3 linked regions of the Neodiprion lecontei genome follow. The main gene of each other region encodes a partner of the protein of the gene in region 2 in a complex. Links are inferred from orthologs where the notes say so. Each region holds a gene or a part of one and is shown on either strand. Other genes may lie near its edges. The genes, in order: regulator of MON1-CCZ1 complex, vacuolar fusion protein MON1 homolog A and vacuolar fusion protein CCZ1 homolog.

Evidence for each region.
Region 1: the proteins of vacuolar fusion protein MON1 homolog A (region 2) and regulator of MON1-CCZ1 complex are in contact, whole or in part, in a cryo-EM structure (PDB 8JBE), measured with the Drosophila melanogaster proteins. The link is inferred for Neodiprion lecontei from reciprocal best matches to the Drosophila melanogaster genes Mon1 and Bulli. Residues at the interface, in NP_608868.1 of Drosophila melanogaster: Pro416, Glu417, Arg419, His438, Pro439, Glu445, Arg448, Met473, Lys474, Glu475, Arg476, Glu494, Pro495, Val496; in NP_648047.2 of Drosophila melanogaster: Ile561, Arg565, Lys568, Asp590, Leu592, His595, Ser596, Arg599, Phe600, Met603, Phe631, Pro632.
Region 3: the proteins of vacuolar fusion protein MON1 homolog A (region 2) and vacuolar fusion protein CCZ1 homolog are in contact, whole or in part, in a cryo-EM structure (PDB 8JBE), measured with the Drosophila melanogaster proteins. The link is inferred for Neodiprion lecontei from reciprocal best matches to the Drosophila melanogaster genes Mon1 and Ccz1. Residues at the interface, in NP_608868.1 of Drosophila melanogaster: Trp112, Gln113, Phe120, Leu142, Val145, Ile146, Leu149, Phe152, Val153, Gln157, Asp158, Ala159, Ile160, Thr161, Ser162, Ile163, His164, Ala165, Gly166, Ile168, Phe170, Phe172, Arg185, Arg459, Ser464, Arg465, Pro466, Leu467, Lys468, Leu469; in NP_647835.1 of Drosophila melanogaster: Lys48, Gly51, Leu52, Ile56, Phe59, Thr60, Thr62, Phe63, Thr64, Asp68, Cys69, Gln70, Ala71, Leu72, His73, Thr74, Gln75, Lys76, Thr77, Ala114, Glu115, Ala412, Asp413, Asn416, Pro427, Ala428, Glu429, Glu430, Val431, Gln432.

The regions. Positions count from the first base shown.
Region 1 is NC_060263.1:20,634,368-20,640,284, reverse strand, and holds regulator of MON1-CCZ1 complex, read right to left. Parts: upstream 4,274-5,917; 5' UTR 4,093-4,273; coding exon 3,973-4,092; intron 3,898-3,972; exon of another isoform or gene 3,867-3,897; coding exon 3,561-3,866; intron 3,446-3,560; coding exon 3,271-3,445; intron 3,196-3,270; coding exon 3,036-3,195; intron 2,955-3,035; coding exon 2,849-2,954; intron 2,626-2,848; coding exon 2,472-2,625; intron 2,395-2,471; coding exon 2,331-2,394; intron 2,243-2,330; coding exon 2,023-2,242; intron 1,949-2,022; coding exon 1,779-1,948; intron 1,668-1,778; coding exon 1,392-1,667; intron 1,291-1,391; coding exon 1,033-1,290; intron 885-1,032; coding exon 875-884; 3' UTR 523-874; downstream 1-522. Other genes in the region: transcriptional regulator ATRX-like, read right to left, coding at 1-66, 174-263; cytochrome c oxidase assembly factor 3, mitochondrial, read left to right, coding at 4,960-5,220; dimethyladenosine transferase 1, mitochondrial, read left to right, coding at 5,323-5,917. UniProt on the Drosophila melanogaster protein: Positive regulator of the Rab7 guanyl-nucleotide exchange activity of the Mon1-Ccz1 complex, possibly by enhancing its endosomal membrane association.
Region 2 is NC_060260.1:35,646,399-35,652,473, reverse strand, and holds vacuolar fusion protein MON1 homolog A, read left to right. Parts: upstream 1-1,902; 5' UTR 1,903-2,034; coding exon 2,035-2,304; intron 2,305-2,380; coding exon 2,381-2,703; intron 2,704-2,903; coding exon 2,904-3,147; intron 3,148-3,446; coding exon 3,447-3,731; intron 3,732-3,806; coding exon 3,807-3,997; intron 3,998-4,069; coding exon 4,070-4,172; intron 4,173-4,312; coding exon 4,313-4,453; 3' UTR 4,454-5,491; downstream 5,492-6,075. Other genes in the region: mediator of RNA polymerase II transcription subunit 20, read left to right, coding at 600-710, 838-930; pre-mRNA-splicing factor 38A, read right to left, coding at 5,653-6,017. UniProt on the Drosophila melanogaster protein: Part of the Mon1-Ccz1 guanyl-nucleotide exchange factor complex specific for Rab7 that promotes the exchange of GDP to GTP, converting Rab7 from an inactive GDP-bound form into an active GTP-bound form.
Region 3 is NC_060261.1:2,310,846-2,316,157, reverse strand, and holds vacuolar fusion protein CCZ1 homolog, read left to right. Parts: upstream 1-1,828; 5' UTR 1,829-2,028; coding exon 2,029-2,103; intron 2,104-2,443; coding exon 2,444-2,541; intron 2,542-2,601; coding exon 2,602-2,713; intron 2,714-2,796; coding exon 2,797-3,012; intron 3,013-3,089; coding exon 3,090-3,265; intron 3,266-3,366; coding exon 3,367-3,510; intron 3,511-3,618; coding exon 3,619-3,764; intron 3,765-3,863; coding exon 3,864-4,128; intron 4,129-4,194; coding exon 4,195-4,322; intron 4,323-4,418; coding exon 4,419-4,471; 3' UTR 4,472-4,780; downstream 4,781-5,312. Other genes in the region: probable 28S rRNA (cytosine(4447)-C(5))-methyltransferase, read right to left, coding at 4,980-5,312. UniProt on the Drosophila melanogaster protein: Part of the Mon1-Ccz1 guanyl-nucleotide exchange factor complex specific for Rab7 that promotes the exchange of GDP to GTP, converting Rab7 from an inactive GDP-bound form into an active GTP-bound form.

The sequences.
Region 1 (5,917 bases), on a different chromosome or scaffold from region 2:
TCTCGCATTCTCAGCGTTCAATTTATCGAATAGTTTGTCGAGTTTTTCTTTGCTGGGTTCGACGAACTGAAAAATGCGGCAGAACAATTACGATTTAATCGATCTTAGCGATACGGATTCAATGATAAAAAATTTTCTACGCATAGTTTACACTTTACGCAATTGATCTTCACCTCGTTATTTCTCGCTAATTCACTCAGTACTTGTTTATTTTCATCAATTGTATTCACTCGTTCAATTAGACCTCCGACCATCATCGCCATTTTGATAATTCTACCAGCTATCACTTTGCCTCTCTGAAGTTGTAGAGATTGGCTTCGGCGACAACGTGAATGTAGCTATTATTGCGTACTTTAAATCAGTTCGTTATGCATTCGGTGAAAAGTTTGTGGATAATGAGAGACGTTCGATTTTTTGTCAACTTGTCATTCGTGGGAACCACAAAGTAATAGTAACTTCGTGATGGGAACGAAAATATACCAGACTTATTCCATGCGGTAATATTCAGTCAATAATAGTAAATTCAAAAACAAATATTTTACATATATTATCCTCATAATAACATATCCCACGGAAATGTTTTTATACAATATTATAATTTACACAACAGAGCTTCAAGCAGCACCATTCTCAACACAGCATTAATTATAATGTATCACAGAACAGTACGAGAAATGAAACGGAATGACCGTAAGATTACAAATAGTTTGCTAGTTCCTTACTTTCTGCATTTTTCTGGTTTTCCATGCATGTTTATCATCCTGTTCACAAATTTCACAAATTCTTGATTGCACTAGTCTTGTGAATTGTGGGCATTGAACAAAAACATAAGCGTGATGATACGCGAATGCTGAGTTAATTATTCCTGATAATTTCAGCCAAACCTTAAGGTAGAGGAAAAAAAAAATAATACCATTTGATTATTTGGTACATAACCATGGCTGTTTCTATTATAACTCGCTATTCAATGCATGACCAAATCAATATGTATAATTGTGTTACGATTAGCAAATAAATTGCGATTCGACCTACGATGACATAGTCGATACATTTGAATTTGTATCTGAATTACAGCCGTTGTCAGTTCCTTGGAATAAATATTTAAAATGCTGTACATATGTTTGACAATGTTCCCCTCTTGTGAAAGCAGTTGTGTTATGGAGTCTCAAATTGCGATTTTCGAAGAACTTATAAACGGAGTGAAACAACTTAGGATCGTTCGAGGTCTTTGCTGCTTCCAAAAATTTGCGAGCAGAAACCTGATCGATTATTCCGACCGATCTGACATACCTGTAATGGAAAGATATGTATTTTCTCCAGGCGGATCACCTTGAAATATGAAATTTCATTTTTACAATTGTAAGATGCATTTTCAAGGGTGTTCAGCTCACCGTAATGCCGGTAATATGTGTCCTTTGGATAGCAAGACTTCCATTATTTCTTCGTGAGCATTTCCTAATCGCTTGAGCATATCTAGCGCAAGTTGGTGAGCAGCTGGATAGAGACTTTCCAAAGACAGTAGAAGACAGGCGAGTGGTTTTGAGTCAGCGACAACGTGATACTGTAGCAACTGATGCAGCTGATAGTAAGCCTTCCGGTGAACCAAAGTCGTGATTACCAATTCATGGAGGTAGTGCTGAACAGGTATATCATGATCGGCCAGAGACCTAAGGAAAAAAAATCGGAGAAAGTTCATTGAGAGATTTTATACCCAGGGAGCTATACGCTGAAAAAAAAAAAAACTCTTTTCAAACTACACTTTTCGTCAAGGCATGTACCTAATGTATTCCAACAGTATCCAAACCACCATTTTTGGCTCTGTCGTGTCCTCGGGAAACTTTGACAATATGTAAGTGTACATATCGCTCTGATCAATTATTTGTTTGTATTTAATGTTTTCTGACACTGTGGCGACACCTTTGGACCCAATTTGCAGCGGCGTTCCCATCTGTCGATTGATCGATAGAAGATGAATGTGCAATGGGTTTTTTATCGCTATTATTCATCACAATGGTCACTTACTTGGCTTTGCAACTCATTTTCGAGGTGGTTACGATAAACAGTGTTCAACTTATCAAAAATCGTTGACATGTACAACAAGCTTGACGGTAGCTGAGTAACATTTTCCTTCACAACTTGCATCAAAACCTGCTTGGAATCATTTCGTTGCATTAAAAACTCAACGAGCAGTACTTTGTCGGGGATTAATTTTACCAACGATTCAAGTCGCAGCTTAACAAACCTGTGAATTAATCGACAACTTCTTTACTCCATGCATCTTTTAAACTCCTAGATTGAAAACAAGTTGAATATTTTTCTCATAAACTTACCAAAGGCATCCTAATTTTGCATCGATTATTATATTTGGTTGAAAAACAACCCAGCCAGGGGAATCTAAGAGAAATTAAGTAAAACGCTTGGTGATCAATGTTGTTATTTTTATAATCATTATCTTTTTTTCAAAAGGATACAAAGTAGACAGGGCTGAGATAATTGCTCTAGCAGAGTCGTGCCAGGGACCTTCAAACTGTATGGTCTTATCGGCTTGGGTGCAGCTATACTGGTATGATGCATCACAGTGCCGTCGCTCACTCCCGGCAATTTAATGTCAAAAATCATCGAAGTCTGTAATTTATCAATCAATTACTCTCGAGATAAAACTCAAAGACTGCCATGTTTCAATGGTAAGAAAAAGTGCTTCGAATTGGTTCACAATCAGTAATGAAAAATGATGCTAAACTGCTTCTATAAAATAAGCAGTACATATCAGCAGATTTATCTCCTACCAGTCAATAGTCTGAAAAAAATACCGTTTTCAAAAAGGTAGTTCTTTGTGAACAAGACTTACTTCGGATGCTTGGTGATGCACAATTATAAGATTGTCGATAACATTGATTGCGAATCGGCCACTAGTGTCGAGTTTTAAAATGTGGCTCTTCTTTATCGTGAGCATTCTGAAACATTGGATCATCAATGAATCATTGAGAGTACTTTGAAAGAGGTAAAATCGGAGAAAAAGCAAATTACAAAATTACTTATGCACTGTGTAGACGTAGACTTGAGCCGTACCAAGGCTTCGATTGATTCCTGGTTGATGGCGCAGCACAATTATTGATGGGGTTCCGTAAAGAACTGCCAACGCTACATCTCTCTCCGAAACTGCGAGCTTCCCAGGTTTCGTGGCTCCAGCCTCCACTGAAACAATGCAATATCTATCTCCGTTAATCGGCTAATCAATCTCCAAAGTTAATCCCGAGAAGTTTGTCTCACTTTCAAATTTGGTGAGCTTGTGCAAGTTTCCAGGAGTGATATGCAGCGCTTGCATTTGGTTGCCGATGGTACCAGACGAGAGGAGAACGAGGTAGCTTTGAGGGCAGAAGACAAACCAATTGACTCCCAAACTGAGGGATTTCAGTGCTTTGACAGTTCGCTTCTCTGGAACCACCTAAAAAATATAGAGTATTATTGATCTAACATCTACACAGACTTATATGGTGCTTTTTACAGTGATCACACATGGAGGAAAAGTAGGTAGAAAAAAATCTCTGCCTGATACTCACCAAAAACAGTTCCACTCCGTGATCTGTGACGAATAAAATTTCATTGCTGTGTGTCCAGACGAAGCCTAAGATAGAGGCATTCTTTCCTTTACAAGTCTGCGAGTATTCCACATTGTCCAATCCGGAGGCCGATGAGTAATTGATGAACTCGACAGAAGTATTAGTCCGTTGTATAGCAAGGATGTTCATGTCGAGCGAGAACTTGATTGAGATTATGGGACCCTTGTCTTCCATTCTGAAATTCAAATTGTGCTCCGGACCCTTGACCAGGACCCCGATAACGCCCTCTGAACGAACAGCGAATACCTACAGCATGAATTTTGCAGCTGTCAAGGGGCTATCAAACGAGGGATAATCCATCATTAATATTTTAGGTTATCAATGCAGTTTAAGAAAATCCAAATAAAGAGACCTGCTTGTTCGTGTCATCGAAGAAAACATTTGTCAACGGGCTGATCGATTCGAATCTCACAGGATCAGGCGACAATTCGAGGTAATAATCATCGTTTCCTTCACTACTTGTTGATTCCATTTTTCGCTATTTGACAGCTCGCAGAAGACTAACACAACCTGATTCACACGTATCAGTAAATTCGCTTACACAGCAAAAGCCACGTCATTGGTTATTTCCAATTTACTCGAAGATACAATTGGCTGAAAACATCAGGGCTCCTGCGACTTGTCATTAACGAAACTACCTATGGATGATGGTCGGTGAGAAAGGTACAACTGCAATCGTCGCTATATGGTAGGTGACGATTTGTGCAATGGTAGCGTCGTCTAGCGGAGATTGAAGATTCTAATAAAACTGGGCCTCATCATCATCACATTCTAATGCCATCATGGTGACAATCGACGTAACCTACGTGTGTTGAAGATCATCCCATAAATTCTGCAATATAGAGGTGAGTCATTGCAAAATATCAACGGTTTTTACGATTAAGTAATGTGGTTCGCCGTTAACGGTTCCGATTAAGTATCGTGGTTACAAATGTCCCGGTACTTGGAGCGTAGGTACAGACTCCGCGATGTTCTAACCTCTAATTGCGATCCCACGACAATTTATTGATGATCACTAATCAACCGGGGAATTTTCAGTTTTCCAATGATTTTTCTTATCCCCATGATAATTTTTCCCAACTATCAGCTTTGTTGCCGTTTAAATAATATCAATATATTTCTAGTCATTTAGTTGTCACAAAGATCGTTCTTATTTCATTCTTACAGTAAACGATACTATAACTTGTATTGAATCGAATGATAATAAAAAAGAACTTCTACAAAACATAGAATATTGCTTGTATACAACGGCGCAATCACAAAATAGGATAAAAATGAATAAATGTTTTTTTCGTTTCATTTATGAAGCTTTGTTCACTCGTTTTCAGATCGTTGTGCAATGGCTGATGAGCAGATGCCAAAAATCCATGAAGGGAAAAACTTTCGTAAACTAACGCTTGTCGAACAAGAGTACATGCGACTTATAGAAGAGAGGAATCTTGAGAGAGTGGCCAGCTTGAAACGAATGCAAAGAAACAACAGATATACCGGTCTAGCGCTAGGAGCATTGGTTCTAGGAATATACGGGTACTCCATGTATGCAGTTCGCCAGGAAAATTTCCTTGATGATTTCGAAGAGCCAGTAAAAACGACAGAATAACAATTATCGTGAAGGCAACGATAATATAGGATTAGATATATTCATAGGTTGTTACGATCTAACATTGAAAAAATATACAGAAAATAATAAGTTCACACCAAAATGACCATTCTAAGATTACCTCCGTTGCCCACAATAAGAGATTTGGTTAAACTGTATCGCCTTCAAGCGCGTAAACAGTTGTCCCAAAACTTTTTAATGGACGAACGTCTCACAGATAAAATCATCAAAACAGCAGGTAGAATAAAAGATGGACATATATTGGAAGTCGGACCTGGACCAGGGGGATTGACGCGATCGATAATGAGAAAGTATCCACAGAGGTTAATAGTAGTTGAGAAAGACAATAGATTTTTGCCTACGTTGCAGCTACTCCAAGAAACATTTCAAAACGTCAATGGCGAAATGGAAATAATCATAGGAGATATATTGAATGTAAATTTGAACTTGTTTCCTGAGTGTGAGAAAAAAAGCTGGGAAGATATTCCACCAAGGATTCATTTGATCGGTAATCTACCATTCAGCGTATCGACTCATCTTATTATCGTCTGGCTTAAAGCTATCTCTGAGAAAAGTGGACCGTGGGCCATGGGAAGAACCAAAATGACACTCACATTTCAAAAGGAAGTTGCTGAACGCCTCGTCTCAGAAGCATACGCTCGGGATCGCTGCAGATTGTCAGTCATGGCACAGACTT
Region 2 (6,075 bases):
AAATGTCGTCACGTTCATATCAAGCCGATGAAAAGTCCGCGAGCTTTAATCTCTCTACGTGGAATTCTACGACGCGGTTACGCAGCTCCCTGGGTGTTATACTAATCAGCAGATTGGCGGTTAAACCGAGGTTCATAACAGAAATCTTCTTTAAATCTAAATATTTAGTCCCATTGACGTCTCTGCGTCGTAGGATAAATTTTCAAGCCTCTGAACAACGTTGAGCATTCATTTGGCTAAATCAATATTTCTGCATTACACACAACCGGCGAATTACGCCAACGCTATGAAGGTTCTGTTGATTTAAGAATAAGTTAGAAACGAAGTCAAAAGGTGCGCGAATATCATTGTTTTCTTCAAGCTGACGTAATAACATTTCTCCTGTATTAAATTTCTATCATACGGTTCATCGAACCCCATTTATCGATCGCCTTCTATGTATGTTTATAAAATAATTTCTTTTGATCGAAACATTACGCTTCGGGGGGATTTTTCTTCACTTTTTTTTTTGCCCAATGGTTCGCTTCATCTTAAAAAATGATCGTGTCATCCTGAGAAATAATTCATAATAACAGATTTGAATAAAAAATCTTTCACAGGTCGAATATCGGCCCTGCGTCATTCCGGGTAGCTCGTGGGAGTTGATGAGAGAATTTCTACAAGGTTTCCTCGGATCAGCTGTACCGAATCAAGCTCCTCAGTATTTACAAGTAAGATAAACGAAGATAATATATATACGACTCTCCTTTTTACGACTGGAATTTGAAAATAAACCCCTGGCAATTTATAACTACGGGATCAAGTGAATTGTTGTAATTTGTTTAAAACATGTTACAGAATCGAATGAATGAGATTTATCAACCTATGGATACCATACAGCAATATTTGGAGCATTTTGGACAGTACAGAAAATCTACCAGCGTCATATAAGCTACAGCCACTTATCGTCAAATACAGTGTTACAACATCCCAAAAAGACTTAATCTCTGTGTCTTATTCAACTTTATGATACTCATAATCGGGAGATTAAATAGAAATCCAAAAATCTTACCCGTCTTGTATGAATTTTTAACATAGATAATTATGCTCAGTATTAAAATCTATTGGTATGTCATCGCATTCACGAATAAAGAGTTTCGATCGGCATGTAAAAGCTTCATTGAATCAATAAGAAGAATTTATGAATGCTCAAGGCGTCTTCCAAGTTTTATTTTCAGGCAAGGGAACCTTGAAGAATAGTTCCAAAACTTTTGAAACGAGATTATGTTTCTTCCTAACCACACTGAAGTTGACAAACATATGTAACATTTATATACGAATTGATATTGTGATAAATAAGTAAGTTCCAGAAATTCCTGTCACATGCCTATAAGTTGTTTTCGATAATTTTTTGCATGTAATATATTTGACTTGTGCATACATAGTGATAATCAGCAGGTTATGATTAATCAGTTTCAGACACAGTAATTTCAAAAGTTTCTGATAACTCTTCTGAAAACGCGATTGAAAATAAAAATATCCATATGCATACTGATAATGTAGGTGCGCGTTTTTTTTGTAATTTTTCGTCCGCACATTACGCAATTTTCAGTCAAGGATATTGTGTACGAATCATCGATATAACGGCTATTGTATGTCAAAGAATTTCCCGCACGCATGCAAATGACTGAAGTAAGAATTGAGTGACAGAATTCTTTATTCGATCCATACGTTTCAAATATTTGTTTGACAATTATACGTAATTGAATTTTAATTTTGCGTTGGACACAGCTTTTGCTCCAAGGACGGAGTTCGAACCGATTGATATATTCCCGCTGATAATCTAGGGATATTTTGTCAAGTCGTTGCATGGCGTTGGCAGCGGTGCGCAATTCCAGGGGCTCCCAGTGGGCGACGTGCATAAAGATAACAGCGACGACGTAATGCTGGTCGCAAACATGTTGGCCGCGCTGTCATGGCCGGCTGATGATTGACAAACGTCAATTTTGTAGGAAAAGTGTGAACCGTGAGTCGACTAATTAAATTAGCGTAAAAATGGCCAATCCCGAGGCACCTGGTGTCGACGACGTTATAGCCGAGCCAGGAATCGAGCCTGGGGCTTCGGCCGAGACGATGCTAGTGACGACTGATAGTTTCGAGGAATACGAGCAGGAAATGAGCAACAGCATAGACGACAGGCAAATGAAGGAAAGCACGACTAGCACGATATCCGAACTCCAGGAGGACATTCGAGAGGCCCCGCCGACGCCAACGGCGGTCAGCCCCACGGAGCCAAAGCCTGAACCTCCCGACGATTTGGAGCTCGTGAGTCTCCTAACCTCTAACCTGACAGGAGGGGTCGAATTCAAATTGCTCAGTACGCAGATTTCCCATTTTTTAGGAGGACAACACGCAGCAGCTCAGTTTGAATAGTCTGGAAATTGACCCACTGAGGAACACGACGTGGCTAGCACAGAGAAAGCATATATTCATACTGAGCCAGGCGGGAAAACCCATTTACTCGAGGCACAGCTCCGAGGATAAACTCGTCACACTTATGGGCGTTATGCAGGCGTTAGTTTCATTCGTTCAAGCTGGTAACGACATGATCAGATCGGTCCACGCGGGCGATACTAATTTCGTTTTCGTTGTCAAAGGTCCACTTATCTTAGTCACTGTGTCTAAAACACTGGAAAGTGTGCCGCAGCTAGTTTTACAGCTAACGTGAGTTTATTGCAGAATTCATTCTTACAATATGCAATCCTTTATTACAGAGTCATGATACTTATTTTCCTCAAGATATCGGTATTTCTAATTATGTGTGAAAATAGAAATAAGTTTATTTTCTTTTTAATATCCCAGTTCATATTGTTCACTGACTGTTTTCATTGAACCCATTCAATAGACCTAAAATTTGCTTACAGATATGTGTATAATCAAATAGTTTCCGTCCTCACGCAATCTCAACTGACGAGGGTTTACGAACAGAGGCGAAACTTTGATTTGCGAAGATTATTGACAGGCAGCGAGAGGTTAATCGATCATTTGTTGAATTTTATGGATAAAGAGCCAGCCTTTTTTCTAGGTGCTATTAAGTGCTTGCCTTTGTTGCCCTCCATGAGGGATGCTATTAGTCAAACCATTGTTCAAACTTGTGGCAAAATTAAGGTGAGGAAGCACAGTGTTTGTGTACCTTGAGTGATTCAAAAACGTAACGTTCTATATTTGTCTCTCTTATCAAGCCTGTCTTTTATTATCATTTTGTTTGTAGTACTCCCTGTGTTGTAAATCTTCATTTTATTTCTTCTTCATTGTGTCATCTATACTTGCTTTGATTCTCCATCTTATCCAGCATTGCTATGGATAAAATAAAAATATCTATTTATCTACCTGTCTTATAGCAAAATTTATATAAAACTTACATGGGATAAAAATAACAATGAGCTCACTGATAAAAAAAATTTCAGAATCTGGTGTTTGCGATACTACTGGCTAATAATCAGCTGGTAACATTGGTCAGAATGAAAAAATATTTCATACACCCTGCTGACTTACATTTGATCCAAAATTTGGTCGCCAGCTCGGAGTCGTTCAAAACGGTAGAAAGCTGGACGCCAATATGTTTGCCCAAGTTTGATTCCAATGGGTTTATGCACGGTCATGTTTCGTACCTGGCAGAGGATTGCCAAGCTTGTTTATTACTTCTGACTGTCGACAAAGACGTGTTCTATTCTCTATCGGATGCCAAGCAAGTAAGCAAACTCTTATGAATTCATTGAAGAAGATGATCTATTATTGATTATCATATCTTGCTAATTTCTCATCAGAAAATAGTTGAGAAATTACGAAGGACAAATTGTTTGGAAGCAATCAATGAGTCAATGAACAAAGCATCCATCACAACAGCAGAAATTGGTTTACCTGAGATGCGACATGTCTTGTACAAATGTAAAAGTACGGCACAATTCTGGAGTCCTGGTTTTCAACCGCCATATACAACTGATGAAGAAATCGAACGGTAAATTTTTGTATTAAAAAAAAAATAATATGATTTTTAGCAGTGCGTTAATATTTTTATTATAAATTTCAGACTATTGGGACTCTATCAGTGCCTTCATCACAGACTGCATGCCCCAAATCGACCACTGAAGTTGATATTCCAACAATTGGACAAAGAAACAATGTTAGCTTGGGTAAGGTGTAAAATAATTTGTTTAAAGTATTTAAAACATTTGCTTCAATGATTACTAGTATCAATAACGCACTAGTATTAGTATGAATATTCATATTTCATTTGTGACAAGATTTGCAATTCAGCTCTGATTTTTTTCAGGTAACGTCAGGTTTCGAATTGTATTTGACTTTTGAACCACTGGTGACTAAACCAGATGCGATAAATTCTGTAAGCAAATTGCTGAAATGGATAAAGAAGGAAGAAGAAAGATTATTTATATTGAATTCACCAACGTTCTAGCAAGAATTTGAAATTATGGACAAAAAAGGCTCAAATGTCTCAGCTGTTGCACTGTAGTAACTGTAAATGTGCTGCAAGAAATTTTTTTTTCAAAGTTTTGGTATCGACGATGTATGAAAATTGTAAAAATTGGGAAGGAAGAAAGGTAATATAACGTAGAATGTATAATTTCAAAAGGCTATGACTAGGTACGTTAAGATTTAAGAAATGCAGCAAATCATGTTCAATTTGATTTCGGTTGATGGAAATATTTATTTTTGAGACGATTTCCTCCATCCGTATATTTGCGATCGAAAAACCTATTTTTGACGCATCCGAGAATTGTATTCCCTAGAAGCTCCCTAAATATAGGAGTCTTATACGTGACTAATTGCACGACTAATCGCCCATTCCTTCGTATCTTTAAGTGTATATTGTATACTATATTTTGCTCACTATTTATAATTATGAAATTTGAGATTTGGTAGTTACTTTATTACAAAGTAATACAAACTTAAAATATGTAAATATCGCATAAAATAGATGAAATATCGGTTATTTAGATATTACCGACTTATGCAATTCAGTGGCATTATGGCCATGTTAAGAAAATATTCTTTTATGATTATGCACTGTTTTTACCTTTGATATCTCGAAAATCCAAAAAGAATTTGCAATGCTATTGCAATGTTTTGAACCAATCTGTACATTCTAAAAAATGTATGAAACCGAATTTTTCAATGTCGGTTATTCGTATACAAGCATAAAACATGAAATGATCCACAATCTGTAGTACTAAATAGCTTTCCCAATTAATTCGATACCCGAGTATCGTGGATACTCACACTCCACTGAAACAATGTTCGAGTAAGCTACTATGTAGCAGTTAGTTAAAAAAATTATGTAATTTTAATATTATTAAACTGTAATTAGCTAAGTACAGTTATCGTTTTATTTTAAGCTCTGGCAACTTGAGAACAAAGATATAACAAAAAACATATGTATGAAATGATGTATTTCAAATCATTTTTATGCTAATTACAGAATCTTTCGCTAGAATGATGAATCCCTTTTCAATATTGTTATGACACAGAATTCTTTTAATGATCAAGGTGTACAAGTTGATCTCGTTAGTCATACAAATATGAAGTTACTTACAGAAATGACAATTTGGTATTAATTTTTCATTGTAAATTTGTATTCTCTCATAGTGAGGTGTGTTAGTGCCTAGGCCGCTCTCGTTCTCTCCGACGATCTCGATCTCTTTCTTTCTCCCTGTCGTCCCTTCTGTGCCTATCCTTATCACGATCTTTATCTTTGTGTGATGATGAGGAATACAGTTTAGGAGATTTGCTTCGTTTACGTTCCCTCCTGTCTCTTTCCCGCTCCCTACTTCTGGACCGCCGTTTCTCCCTTTCTACTTTTTTCTCAGGGCGAGCATGTCTCTTTTCTCGATCCCTGTGACGCTCTCTTTCAAAGTCTTCTGTACGTTTACGAACTTCCTCCTTTACTACGGGCACATCTTCGTCATCTGAAGACTCAATTCCCTCATCCATGTCGTCCTCGAGTGCGGATATTTTTCCCTCTGAAACAATTAAATCATTTGTTTATCACTTCCAATTAATGGTAATATAGATGAGGGA
Region 3 (5,312 bases), on a different chromosome or scaffold from region 2:
ATTTGTGCTACTGTCCGAAAAAAAAGTCGAATTGCACACTAAAATCTCACAGTATAGATTTTTCTGAACATTATTACTCTTATAATAAAATTTGTACCAAAACTATGTGGCCAAAACACGTGTATTATAAACGGGGAAATCCATCCTCTTACAGGGAGGATTTAGAATTGAGATAAAAATCTGAAAAAATTAGGGAACTGTTTTTGAATTGTTTGAAGTCGATTTGAAGGGCGGCACGGAAAAAGATCGGCAACACCGTAAATAAGGATCACCCTAATTGTGCACATACATAGTTGAATTGAGACACGCATCGAGCATCAGTTTGATTTGATACAAAATAACATCGAGGGCCTTAGAGATCAAGGGTATGTAGTACTCGCAGACCCTTTGCGTTTATTTGTTTATTCAATATAGGAAGAAAAAGGGGGACTTTCCTCGGTCGGTAAGGATAGGAGTACTACATACCCTTCATTCGCAAACTAAAAATGTAGCCCAGGAGCACCTGTATGTGTTCACATGTTTTCCGCCGTCACATAGGCGAAAGGCACTACTCGACGCGCACAGATTGCCTACATACAGGCAGATTTAAACGCATATACAATAATTTACGATCCTTACACGCGCATTTCAATAATAACGAAATTCAGGAAACAGATATGCGTTAAAAAAACGATCGTCGAGATTCTCAGTGACCCTGTTTTACTGGATCGTAATATTTCCGCAAGCGTGTATGCAGTTAATAAGTTGTACAAAGATCCTTACCTAGAATTGTGAATTGTAACCGGGAGTCCTCGTGAATACTCTTTTGATGCCGTATCATCCTCAAACACTGCTGGTTGCCCATTTGCACTGATTTACACAACTAGACTGCACTGATTTACACTGCTAGACTGCACCGAAGGTCACCGATTGATGGTCATTACGCGAATGCTCTACTTCGGCTGGACGAAGGTCGAGGAAATATACAAACCAGCGTCGAACGAAAATCGCACCGTCAAACTTTGTTGATTCGGCTGTCTCGCGACCTTGTTTTCCCGCTAAACTATCAACCACACCGCATTCCGTAATTATTCCAACGAATACACACTTTATCTGCGATAAGTCAGTACATTATTTCACTTTAAACACAACACACCAACTTCAACTTACACGCGGTTAATTGGATTACATGAACGAAACTCAACGTCAGTCGAATAATAATGAAAATGGCTACTTGATCGTTTGTCACTTGTTTGTCAGAGCTTGCGTATCCCGCCAAAATTTACGAAATGTCGATGCAAGCGCCATCATGGTGAAATCAAGAGTATCAAATTGATCGGTAAGTGCGTCGGTAGGTGAGGTAGTATTTTTCCGACAATTACATGCAGCGAAAATTCGAATTTGCTTACCATAGAAGCACGTTTTGTTGCTGTCATGATATGAATTCCTTTGTTTGACCAAACTTCCGCATCAAATAAGTCGGTATTTACGCTCACAATCAACTCGTCAGCAGCGGAGATTCTTCATCCGGATCAATCAGACCACCTTTCGTTAAATATTCCAACGTGTAGAGTCATAAGTATGTGCTGGATTCGTAAGTCGCAGATCACTCACTGTTGGAGCACTGTCGAGACGTCTCACACCGAACAACACACCGAACACGTTGACTGACCTAACTTCAGTGAGCCGATATTCTCCTTGTTCAAACTTGGAGTCTGTATTGAAAATGGCGACTTAGACAGCCAGCGCCACTGACGGACATTTTACAAACTACGAAAGCAATGATGATTTTCACTTTCTTGGTCGGCATCTATTTTAACAACAGTTTACGGAATAAACCACGGACTTAGCATGGACCGTGGAATAAACTAGTCTCATAATCAGTTTCCAACTAGCTGTCAGAATTCTCTCTGACAGAGCGTTGATTGGTGTTGATAGGAGCGATATAGCGTTAAATTTTATTTAATAATAATATGATATACGTCGAATTATTTTGTTAGCGTCGAATTAATTTATCCATAGCTGTACCGCTAATCTGAATCAACTGAAATGACATCGAAGACTGAAATTACGTTGGAACATTTTTATATTTTCAATGGAACATACGCAAAGAAGGAAGGAGAGGTAAGAATTTTGTCAGTATTATTTGTCGTCGAAGTATTTCTGGTCTTAAATTTAACTCGAGTTTAATTTCTCTTCCTTCTTTAGACACAATTGCACAAAAACACTATCGACATGTATTTGTCTGTACAGATGACTAAAGCTCGTGATGATAAACGATTTTTGTGACTCACAAATTATCATATCAGAGAACATGTGCACTAGAAAAATCCAGTTACTGAAATGTTATTCAATTATTTATAGTATACCATTACGGAACAGTGAATCAATATTTATTTTATTTTAATTTTAAGCATGAATTTTTTTATTAAAGTTCATTAATTTACACCTCTTATTATTTTAGGAAGAGAAAAAGATTCTGTACTATTATCCAGTTTCAACGGATTCGGAAACACAAATAAAAAATATCGGACTTGGAGAGGCGATCATTAAATTTACCCAGTAAGTAAACAATAAGAATCAGTGTTGAAATAGTCGATGTTTACTACTGGATAATCAAAGTTTTCTTTTAATCGACAGATCCTTCAGCCCCGGACAAACATGTGATTACTGTCATACTCACAAAACCCGACAAATCTATTTCGAACCCGAGCCAGATTTCTGGATGGTTATGGTATTTGTTTTCTCATTCTTACAATATCCTACACGTGCTTTCAACTCAATTGTATCAATCACTTGGTTTTTTAATCCCCGCAGATTGTAGGCATACCTTATCTTTGGAAGACCAAAGACGATACGGAATATATTGAGTATCAGCATGACGAAGTATCGAGCAGCGTATGTCAAGCGATCCTAAAACAAACTTACGCCATGTTCAAACTGTTCATGGGCTCTTTTAATACCATTTTAAATGACCCTGATTGCGGTTCAGTTCTTTTATTAAAGCATAAACTGGATCACTTTTACTCAAGGGTAATTAACGATGAAGTCACATTTTTTCTCCAACCCAACTTTGATCGATAAATTTTATTTTTACCATTTCATTTCAGTACCTGCCATCTCTGAAATTGAACAACAGTGACATTTTAGATGTTTTTCAAGGCTTGCAATTTTTACCATTAGACAAGACGACGTTTCTCCACGTTCAATGTTTTATGAATCTCGTCGAAGCAATGTTTTCTCAAGTAAAATACACCGCTTTCCTATACAATGATCAACTAGTCTGGTGAGTAAAGCAGTGATAAGCAAAGGTATCGATTACACTAGAGACAAAGTTCGAACAATTTTTTCGACTAGACGATCGATAAAAAATATTGCTTTTATTAGGAGCGGGCTGGAGCCTCAAGACATGCAAGTTGTTTACAACTATTTAGTAAGCACATTGTTACCAGCTCACCTTGAAACTGAATTACATGGTGGATCCATGCCCCGTAATTCTCCATCCCCGTTCACAACCTCGCACTACGGAAAGTGAGTTTCGACTCTTCACAATCAGAGAATTTGCAAACAAAACGCACCATTAGTCTTGATTATTATTGATCACGCAATAAACATCAATCTTTGAATTTTGTATTTCAGGTTCGTAACAGGTCCTAGCAGCATTAATGAACCCAGTGGAATAGGCAAATTACCCAAAGTGTTCATAAATTATTCCACAACGCCAGTTTCCCTGTATTTAGTAGTGTATCGTGCACTGAGTGCAACGATATGTTTATTTGTGGACAGTAAGTATACTTCGACAGTACTTTGCAGTAAAATTATTCACAACTGTTGAACAATGCAAACGTTAGATACTCTTGCTAATTTGTATATATTCGTTAAAGGCAAGACCAGCTTGCTTATGGATCTTTTTAAAAGCCTCGACACGTTTCTCGGGCCCCAATTAACCACGCTGGTCAGTCTGGTGGCGGAACAGTGTTCAAAGCACGTGTCATTCAGCGCTGAATCATGCCCGAAGTATTTGTACTTCAACAAGCTGAATTTAGCCTATAAAAGCACGATTCATTTGGATAATAGACGCTGTTCTAACGTATTAACGACACCTGAAGTGCTACGGATAATAACTGATATAAATAATGATACAAAAAAGTATGTAAACATAAATCAAACTTTTCATGCACACAGCTTTACCAATGAGCCTTGATGATATTTCAGATTCAAAGAAGCTGGCGAAATCGTGATAAAAACAATGAGCGAATACTGGGTTGTTGGCAAATTATCGAACTTGAGAGAATTTTTTGTTGTTACGCAACAGAAAAATGCTAATTTAATTGAAATTGATGGTGCGTATAAAAGTGAATAGCAAATTTTTCAAAATGCATTAACAAAATTGAGTTTCAAGCATTATATTTAATAATCAACATACACGATCATTTCAGATGAAGTAAGGCGACTCTGTGATCAACAATTGAAAAGTATATTCTTCCACTAGTGTCAATGATCAATCAGGTACGGTTCTAACATTGAGTTGGCAATCAGAGTCCACGATCAAATTAATTGCTAACTAATATTTTCTGAACCTTTGAACATTTCGGTTGACTTAATATCATCCAACAATCTGCTTGATTATACGTTTATGTATAATTATACAGTCGGATTGACAGGTATATACAAATGTATATAGGTCATAGTGGATTACCTCACCTGTGCTGTACAGCAACATGTAATATAGTAGATAACAAAAATATTCAAAAAATAATACCTATTTACATCACAGTGCAATAAAACTGTACTGACATTAGCTCGGACTCTACAAATTTCTAATTTACGAGGTAAATATTTTTTCCGTTGTTATTTTTATCATAAAAAACGGGGCAACTTTTATAGAGTTATCCTGAAACTGCCTAAAACGTATGACTGACGGTCATTTATAAAATTTCTATAATCAAAATGATGCAAAACATTGGAGTCACTGATTTGCTTTCGTGTATACGATTAGTTTATTCAGATGTAGCGTCATCATCCTCCACAATCTCTTGCTTAACAACCATATTCGAAAACTTTTTCAATTTAGCAACAAAAAATCCGTCCATGTTATGCGTATGGGGATAGAAACGTCTGGTCAATTTAAGAGTCGGGTGAAACCTGTGATGTCGATAGTTTGTAAAGCCTTCCTCACCAAAATCTAAACCAGTTGGTACAAGTTTCACGTCTCGTTTCTTCAAAGCATAATCAACTATCCACTCGTTTTCCTCTGGAAGAATTGAACATGTTGAATAGACGATAATGCCTCCGGTGTCGGAACGTGCATTGACGCTGTCTATGGCAGCCAA